Linked DNA regions of Rattus norvegicus. The protein of the gene in region 2 interacts with the protein of the main gene of each other region in a pairwise test. Links are inferred from orthologs where the notes say so. Each region holds a gene or a part of one and is shown on either strand. Other genes may lie near its edges.

Region 1 (3,954 bases), on a different chromosome or scaffold from region 2:
CCCTCCCCAACTTGAGGCCACAGTACCCAGTGTAAATGCCCCTCAGCCCTTCTGCCTTCAGGATGCTAGTGAGGGCATGGAAACTGGTTTTGTACTCTCGAGTCTTGGCGCCTTCACCACTCAACTGCATCCGGTTCTTCACCAGGTCCAGGGGCTGCACAAAAACGGTAGCGCCCATCCTTAAGTAAGACAGGGAAGAAATCAGAGGTCAGCTGTTCCAGCTCTACTGTAACCTGGCAGCAAGAAGTTACAAAGGTCAGGGACTGACATGCAACTAAGGATTCAGGAGGCTGGTGGGAATGTGTTTAAGTGTGTGCATCAAGGGAAATGTGCCAGAAAAAGTCCAGTTGCCCAGTAAAGACCACGCAAATCAAAATACTTCGGGCAGTTCTTTAAGGTTCAAGCAGAATTAGGACTACAGGAAGTCTAAGGAAGGGTGGAAAAGGTGTCCTATGATAAAGCCTTTAGTGGCCTCGACCCACAACCCAAACAGGCACAGTGAAGCAATGGTGGTGGAAACACGGGGCAATGACCCTTGAATACAGCCCAGTTGGGCCCCTGCAATGGGTGAATAGATCTTAGCAACCCATCAGGGACCCCGCACCGGCTCAATTTACTGCAACATACTCCCAAGTTGCACTGGGCCCAGTTGCTTGCTCCCATCCCTTCCTCCTTTTTCCCCAATCCTGGGGCCTGAGCTTACCCAGCCAGGCCCCCAAACAGGAACTTGACAGACTTAGGGGAGGTACGGGGTTTCCCGTCCATCCGGCCAGCCCCGGGACTCGCCGTCGCCGCCATCGTCCCTTGATGGCCCTCGGCTTTGGGTCCCGTGCACGCACAGCCCCGCTCGCGCCCAAGGTGACACCAGCGCGCAACAGGGGGAGGGCGCGCGCGCGCACGCCCCTCCGACAGGCAAATCTGGCTCCAGCTGGAAGCTAGGGCGGGCGCAGGCTCGTAGCGCAAAGGCAGCCGGGAATAAGGCGGGGCTAAGATGCAAGGCGAAGGGGCGTGGCCGATTTAGGAAGCTACCCTGTAGCTCCCGCCCCCCAGAATTGGAATCGCGGGAAAAATAGTTTGTTTGAAAATATCGCGAGAGCAAGTGAGTCAGTCGAGTTCGAGCTATGAGGCCTCTCGCGGTAATTTCCAGCGGCGAAGGAGGGGGTAAGAGGCTGGTGAGCATTCTCGCGATACTTGAACGTATCGCGGCGGCCAGAAGAAGGAGAGGTTTGTAAACAGGTAGCTCCAAGATCTCAGGGACTAAGGGAAAAAAATTAGATCGTTTGCTGAGCACCGGAGCTCCCTTCATCTCCGCAGGCACGCTCTACGTGTCGAACATTTCTTTCAACCGGCCTTTTTGGACCGGAAGTCCTCCGTCCTGAGCGTCCAATACTGGAAGCGGCCTTTCTTACCGGAAATCCTTTTCCAGGGGCATAGGAAGAAGGCCTACCTGGCCGGAAGTCCCACCTCCTTGAGATTTCTCCCACCCAGAAGTTATTTTTTGTTACCTGTTTGCCTTCGTTCCTATTCTGTTCTACTTCTGTACCAGAGAAAGATACATTGTCTCCCTTTCCACCTCCACTAAGCTGGTTTGATAGCTCACTTCCCGAATCGGAGTTCCTTCCCCGACGCCCCCATGTAGCTGAGAAGTGGGACCTAGGGGTGGTTGGACCCCTGGGATCCTGAAGGAGAGGCAGAGAAGGCGCAGGACTTGGCTTCTGCTCCTGCTATCAGGACGCGACCTTCCCAGCTTTACCCCTCCTGCTGCCATGCACCCTGCGGCCTTCCCGCTCCCTGTTGTTGTGGCTACTGTGCTGTGGGGAGCAGCCCCTATCCGAGGGCTTATTCGAGCGGTGAGTCTGAGGGTCGGATGGGGAAAGGGTGTTGAGAATGGGTTTCAGACTGGAAAATGTACTGTTTTATCTGCAGACTTCGGAGCACAATGCCAGCATGGACTTTGCAGACCTTCCAGCTCTATTTGGGGCCACTCTGAGCGATGAGGGACTCCAGGTGATGCTTTCCTCATTTCCCTACGTGTATCCTGGGCAGGGGTTAAGTATCCGTGCTCAGGAGGTAGGAAATGGTTGAGATAGCAGTGGAATACATTGGACTGTGGGATACAGTTCAGTGATAGGGTGCTTTTCCTAGTATGAGTGAGATTCTAGGTTGAATCTCCAGCAACCCTCCCCTCCCCCGAAAAAACATGTGCATGATCGTGTCCAGCCCAGAGTCCAGAATCTAGAGATAAAAGACAATGTCCACCCCTAGAACTCCCAGGTATTTTTTTACTTTATGTACTTAGGTGTGAGGGTGTCAGATCCCCTGAAACTGGGAGTTACACTCAGTTGTGAGCTGCCATGCCACATGGGTGCTAGGAACTGAACTCAAGTCCTTTAGAAGAACAGCCAGTGCTATTAACCACTGAGCCATCTCCAGCCCCTAGAATTTCCAAATTTAAGAGGAAGTCTGAGAACAGGTTAAGATAAGGAACAGGTGCTTATCAGCCATGTCTCTGGAGCTACTTACTATCTGCATGGATGGCTGTGGACAGTCTTTTATTGGAAAACAAGTAATAGAAATTAGTTTAGGGCTATTGTGCTAACTAGTGAGATAAGCATGTCTGTAGAGTTCATTACGAAGTTCTTGCCACATAACTACTGCCACAGCAGTAGAGTTGTAAGATGGCTAATTGGAAAACGAAGCAATTGAATATGCTGTGAAAGTCAAATAAGTAGCAAGCTGAATCACTGTCCCTGGGAAACTTAAAAGCAGAACTAAACTAGCCTTGAGAAGTCAAGGGAGCCTCTGGGTAAAGGGATGTTGTTTACTGTAATTGCATCTTCAGGAAGCTAAGAGATCTTTTCTGTTTTTTTGAGACTGGACTCTAACTCTGGCTGTCCCTAACTCACCGACCGTGCAGGTCAGGCTGGCCTCCCAACTCATTGCACTCCCACGTGCTGGGATTAAATGCATGTATCACCATGTCTACCTGAGTTGTAGATTCTGATTTGGGTGGGACCACAAGAATGAGTAATGGTAGAGTTGCCGAATACAGGTAGTATGTGTACTGTTATGTTTAGTAGGTCCTGTGGAAGACAGAATACTAAAAGATGGAAAAATCTGTTTGCCTTTATCCCTCAGGGGTTCCTTGTGGAGGCCCACCCAGAAAATGCCTGCAGTCCTATTGCCCCACCACCCTCAGCCCCAGTCAATGGGTCAGTCTTTATTGCACTGCTTCGAAGATTCGACTGCAACTTTGACCTCAAGGTTGCTGAATGGGGAACGGGTGGTAGTAAGCAGGGTAAAATGACACCAGGAATGAAGAAAGGCAAGGTTTGCAACTCTGTCCTGCTTTGTCTTTTTAGGTCCTAAATGCTCAGAAAGCTGGGTATGGTGCAGCTGTGGTACACAACGTGAATTCCAATGAACTTCTAAACATGGTGTGGAATAGTGGTGAGGATGAAGAAGTCTGTACTGCTGGGTCTCTCCATATAGTTCAGTGGGAGGGCTAAAGACCTACAGGGCAGTTGGTTGAGACCTGCAAAATGTGCCTAAAGCCAGTTTCAGGGGATTGAGGAATGGAAGGTTAAATCCCTAATCTCCTGCTCCCTACAGAGGAAATCCAACAACAGATCTGGATCCCATCTGTATTTATCGGAGAGAGAAGTGCAGAGTACTTACGAGCTCTTTTTGTCTACGAGAAGGGGTAGGACATATGCTTTCTTCCGTCTTCTTTTGGGTTCCATGCCAGTCTGGAACCCAACTTCACTGCCCTATCCACTCAGGTTCAGGGTCTTCCTCATCTGTTTTGATTTTCTCATTTATGCCTTGTCCCAAGCCAGTAACCTTAGTTTGCCTGGCTTGAGACTGTCTTTTTTTCCTCAGGGCTCGGGTGCTTCTGGTCCCAGACAATAGCTTCCCCTTGGGCTATTACCTCATTCCTTTCACTGGGATTGT
Region 2 (4,300 bases):
CAGAGATCTGCCTGCCTCTGCTTCTCCCGTGCTGGGATCAAAGTGTGCTCTGACAGGTCAGTTATCTTTACAAAGGCACTTAAAACAGGCAAAAAGGAAATCAAGTTGTAAGACCCACCAAAACACTACCAAATGAATTAAACCTGTATGACACGGTGAATTAATGACTTGACCAACTACTCAAAAGCTCATATTTAGGGTTGGGGATTTAGCTCAGCGGTAGAGCGCTTGCCTAGCGAGCGCAAGGCCCTGGGTTCGGTCCCCAGCTCCGAAAAAAAAAAAAAAAAAGCTCATATTTACGCACTTAAAAGGGAAATATGTAGACTGCACTATGGGTTCTTCACTCAGGTGAAATCAACACAACCTATCTAGGGAAATGAAATAAAATACTGGTGAGGATAAAGCTAACTGTTGGCTGTGGTTTTTTACAATATTAAATTTTATCTGATCTTTTCCAAAATATTCTTTGCAACTTACTTCCTTGAACTGAATTCCCTGCTAGGTTTTTAAGGCACCATTCTTGAACTCATATTTCCTATTTCCTTCCTGAGAACCATTGACAATGTTTTTAACCAGAGGAGGAGCTTTTATCCGATTTGCACACTTGGGTGTAGAGGTCAAAGAGAAACCTTCTAGCATGTGGGTCTGAATCTGAACTCGGTCATCAGGCTCCTCAGCCATCAATTAAATAGTAGAACAGTAAATGGAGCTGGCCACTCAGCCCATCAGTTAAATAGTAGAATAGTAATAATATGTACTACTAGAGTCATACAAATGCCGATAATCTTCAACTTAAACACCAAATGCCATGGTGAAAAGTCAGACCACACAAAGCAAAGAGGGTATATCAATTTTCAGGGCAGTAACTTGACACTTTTAGATAAAAGAAAGCATGAGAGGTCTAAAGACCCATACAACCTTATTATAGAATACATGTTGTAGGTTGTTAACAACATAAGAATATACAACGACCCCAAACTAAGTTTGCTTATTAAAGAAAAAGTTTAAATAAATCACCATTAAAAATGTGAATACTGTCATTCATATTGTTTCTGCATTGTTTCACAAAAATACAAAGTCATCCTTCCATTCAGAGTTTTGGCAAATGAATACAGAGGTCAGAGTTCATGCTACGTAAGACAGATCCCTACGTATTTCTTAGTATGCTCACTAACGCTGCTAACATTGTCACTTCAATTTTAAGTGACTTTCTTCATGTCTACTTGGAACGATGGATAATTGTCTGCAAGCTTGGGGGCACAATAAAGCTGGAGAGCTACAAGATTTCTAACAATTTCTCATATGCTTAAAATGACGAATTTTAAAAATCATTAATGACATTATCAGAGTACCAAGCAAGCATAATAGGAAAACTGTGAACCTTGAAAAAAATAATTACTTTCAGAATTGTTAAGTTCAATCATAGAAAAACTGGCATTTTTGTCGATTTAGCACTTTTATAGCAGAGTAAAATTATTACTTTCAATATTTCACATAAATAAATCTGGTAAGCATTAATATGCTTAAAATTTGCAGGACTTACAGGCAGTCAGAGTTTTATTTTTTAAATATGCTATTTCCTGATATATTTTGTGACAGAAAAATAAACCTAACTCAATAATGAGCTACAACAATGTGTATCTGATGAAATCCCTTGGTTTTAATAGGCCTCTTTTTAAAAGTAAGACTCAAGTTAACTATGAGGGACATCATAATGAAGTTTCACAGTACAACACTAGTCACAGAGGCATTACCCTAGGAGAGCCTCTCTGATACGGGTGAACAGTATTTTGAAATAAGCTACTCACACACTCCCATTATTCTTCCTATTTCAAATCATTTAATTAACAAACAACTTGCCTTTGACTAGACAAAAAGCTTTAAATATCAGTGAGGAGGCCTAGTTACTTACTGGCTGGGTACGTAGAAAAGAGATGACTATCTAATTTGGAATTATTTTTTTATCTATAGTGAAAATTGTTTCAACACCCCTTCCCAATTCAAGAATGCCCATTATGTCTCCATAGATCCCCCAGCACTGTACCGTAAGGGAGCAACTGAAAGTCTTCTCGTCTATACCTAAAGACTGTGAAGGCTCCTTCCCCAAGGAAAAGACAGCAAAGGCCTGGCAGGCAATATCCCCAGTACCCCTGAAAGCGTGGGCCTGTGAGGTGCGCTGCTGCCGGGGATCTAGTTACTACCTTTCCCCTTCCCCCAACCCACTTCCCGGGTTTTCTCGGCCTGTTCCTTCCCCACCGTACAGTCACACTTCCAGATGTTGTTGCCGCCGCCTCGGGGCTCTCTCTAGAGCTCACGTGCCCGGGACGAGTGCTTCGGCATCTGCCCCCCAAACCCTGTTCCTCCCCAGGCCGGCCGGCCGCCCGCGAGACCGCCTATCCCAGGGCCCGGGGAGGGGAGGGAAAGGCGGCGGGAGGAGGAGGGGAGACCGCCGCTTCCCCATAGGCAGAAAGGCGGCCGCAGCGAGGCCGGCTGGGACCGCCGGGGTCGCGGAAGGAAGGGCCCTGCCGCCCTGGGCTGAGATGGGGGTGTCCGGTAGCTCATTCCTGACCTCCTCGCTCTTCAGCACCTCCTTGAACTCCCGCTTGATTCGCTGCACCGCGATGTTGGCCATGTCTCTGCCCGCAGCTGATTCGTACCCGCCTCCTCCGCCACCGCTACGACCACCGCCACCGCTGCCACCTCTTCCTCCACCGCCTCCTCCCTCAGTGATTCAGACCCGAGCACACGAACGCTGCCACTGCCACCCTTGCCGTCGCGTTCCCCCTCAGTGTAGAATCACCTCCGCGCCCGGCCACCAAAATGGCGCCGGGTCCGCGCATGCGCACCACGCTGACCCGGGCGGGCGGCGCAGCCGCTCCAGTGGTAGCCCCATACGTCTCAGCAGCGAGCCCGCGCCGCGCGTCTCAGCCGGGGCTTCGGCCGCGTGGCTCCGCCCTGCCGGCGGCTGGGGCCAGGAGGGTGCGGTTTCTGTGCCGGTCCGCGGGGTTTGGGCCTGCGGGGTCCTCCCCTGCCCCTCGGCCCCCTTTACGGTGAGGCCTCCAGTCCCTAGCCACGGACCCGAGGTGGGAGCCCCGCCTGGCGGGTTCCCGGGGCCCCAGCCGGGCTGAGCCTCGCTCTAACTCGGCCAGACCCAGAACCCACGGGCTAGAGGTGCCTCCCTGTGTCTAGCGGAGGAAAAAACTATGCAGGAACTGGGTCCTGCCCAGCGTCCGTTGGTAAACCCCCGGGATATCCACTGCCGTAGCTTTTGTTCTGGAACCATGATAACGCAACTATTATTCGGTCATCTCAGGTATTACAGATTTTTAAGGTTGTGTAATGGTTGCGTCCCACGGGTTGTAATTGATACAGGTGTTGCCGGGGACAGGCCTGTGATGAGTTTAAAAGCCAGAAGTTAAATCTTTGACCTGTTTAGATAGTCAATGCTGAGCTGTAGAACTAACATGTTTTTCAAACTTGAACGCACCTCGGAATCCCTGGAGAGCTGGTTAGATTACTAGGACCTATCCCTAGAGTCTGGATGGGGCTAAGAATTTGCATTGCGAGCAAACTCCCTGCTGCCTGTTTTTCAGCGACCACGCTGTGAGAATGGCTGAATTAAGCATGTGAAAGTCTGTATAATTTATAGTGACAGTTGGAGAAATAGAAGGCCGAAAGAACTTTAGACCTACAAAGGTTTTTGGCGCTCGTAGATGTCAATAAGCAGTGAGTGAATATAATTGAGTGGAGAAAAGATGACCGAGTAAAATGTTTTAATTGAGCAACAACGTTGAGAGGCTATTTGAAAGTGGTTAGTAGAGTTTAAAACAAATAACGGAATGTAGATGCTGAGGAATACTTTTGAAAATAACATTGTGAAATAATGAAGGTATTATTTTAGGAGTATGTTTCATGTATTCACCTAATCAATCAGTTCAGTATTCCATCATAAGACTAATACGAGCTGAATGTAGTGGTATAGGCTTGTAATCCTAGATTGGGAGACAGAAGCAGGAGGATCATGAGTTCGAGAGAAACCAGTCTAAGAGTGCTCCCACTTCTCTCCTATATCCGTTGCCAGCTGCGGTTCCCTCGTCTGTGAAATGAGGAGGTTGTTTAAACTTAAGAGTTCAAAATTCTGAAACATCTCAAAGCCTTTCCCTGAGTAGACAGACATAAATTATAAAAGATCTTATAGCAGAGCCCTCTAGTGGTTATAAGGACCGTCAACTATATACTGAACAACTGAACACTACAAAGGATTTTTGCTATGATATAAATCTAGAAATGTTGTAGGTAT

The links. The genes of interacting proteins can lie anywhere in the genome.
Region 1: the proteins of Ube2k (region 2) and Rnf167 interact in binary tests that used the Homo sapiens proteins (3 or more experiments, as listed by UniProt). The link is inferred for Rattus norvegicus from reciprocal best matches to the Homo sapiens genes UBE2K and RNF167.

Annotation. Positions count from the first base shown.
Region 1 is NC_086028.1:55,858,100-55,862,053, forward strand, and holds the start of Rnf167 (E3 ubiquitin-protein ligase RNF167 precursor), read left to right. Parts: upstream 1-1,154; 5' UTR 1,155-1,766; coding exon 1,767-1,850; intron 1,851-1,926; coding exon 1,927-2,007; intron 2,008-2,030; exon of another isoform or gene 2,031-2,917; intron 2,918-3,138; coding exon 3,139-3,264; intron 3,265-3,362; coding exon 3,363-3,450; intron 3,451-3,612; coding exon 3,613-3,703; intron 3,704-3,882; coding exon 3,883-3,954. Other genes in the region: Slc25a11 (mitochondrial 2-oxoglutarate/malate carrier protein), read right to left, coding at 27-179, 704-798.
Region 2 is NC_086032.1:43,069,371-43,073,670, forward strand, and holds the start of Ube2k (ubiquitin-conjugating enzyme E2 K), read right to left. Parts: upstream 2,801-4,300; 5' UTR 2,633-2,800; coding exon 2,570-2,632; intron 1-2,569. UniProt on the Homo sapiens protein: Accepts ubiquitin from the E1 complex and catalyzes its covalent attachment to other proteins. In vitro, in the presence or in the absence of BRCA1-BARD1 E3 ubiquitin-protein ligase complex, catalyzes the synthesis of 'Lys-48'-linked polyubiquitin chains.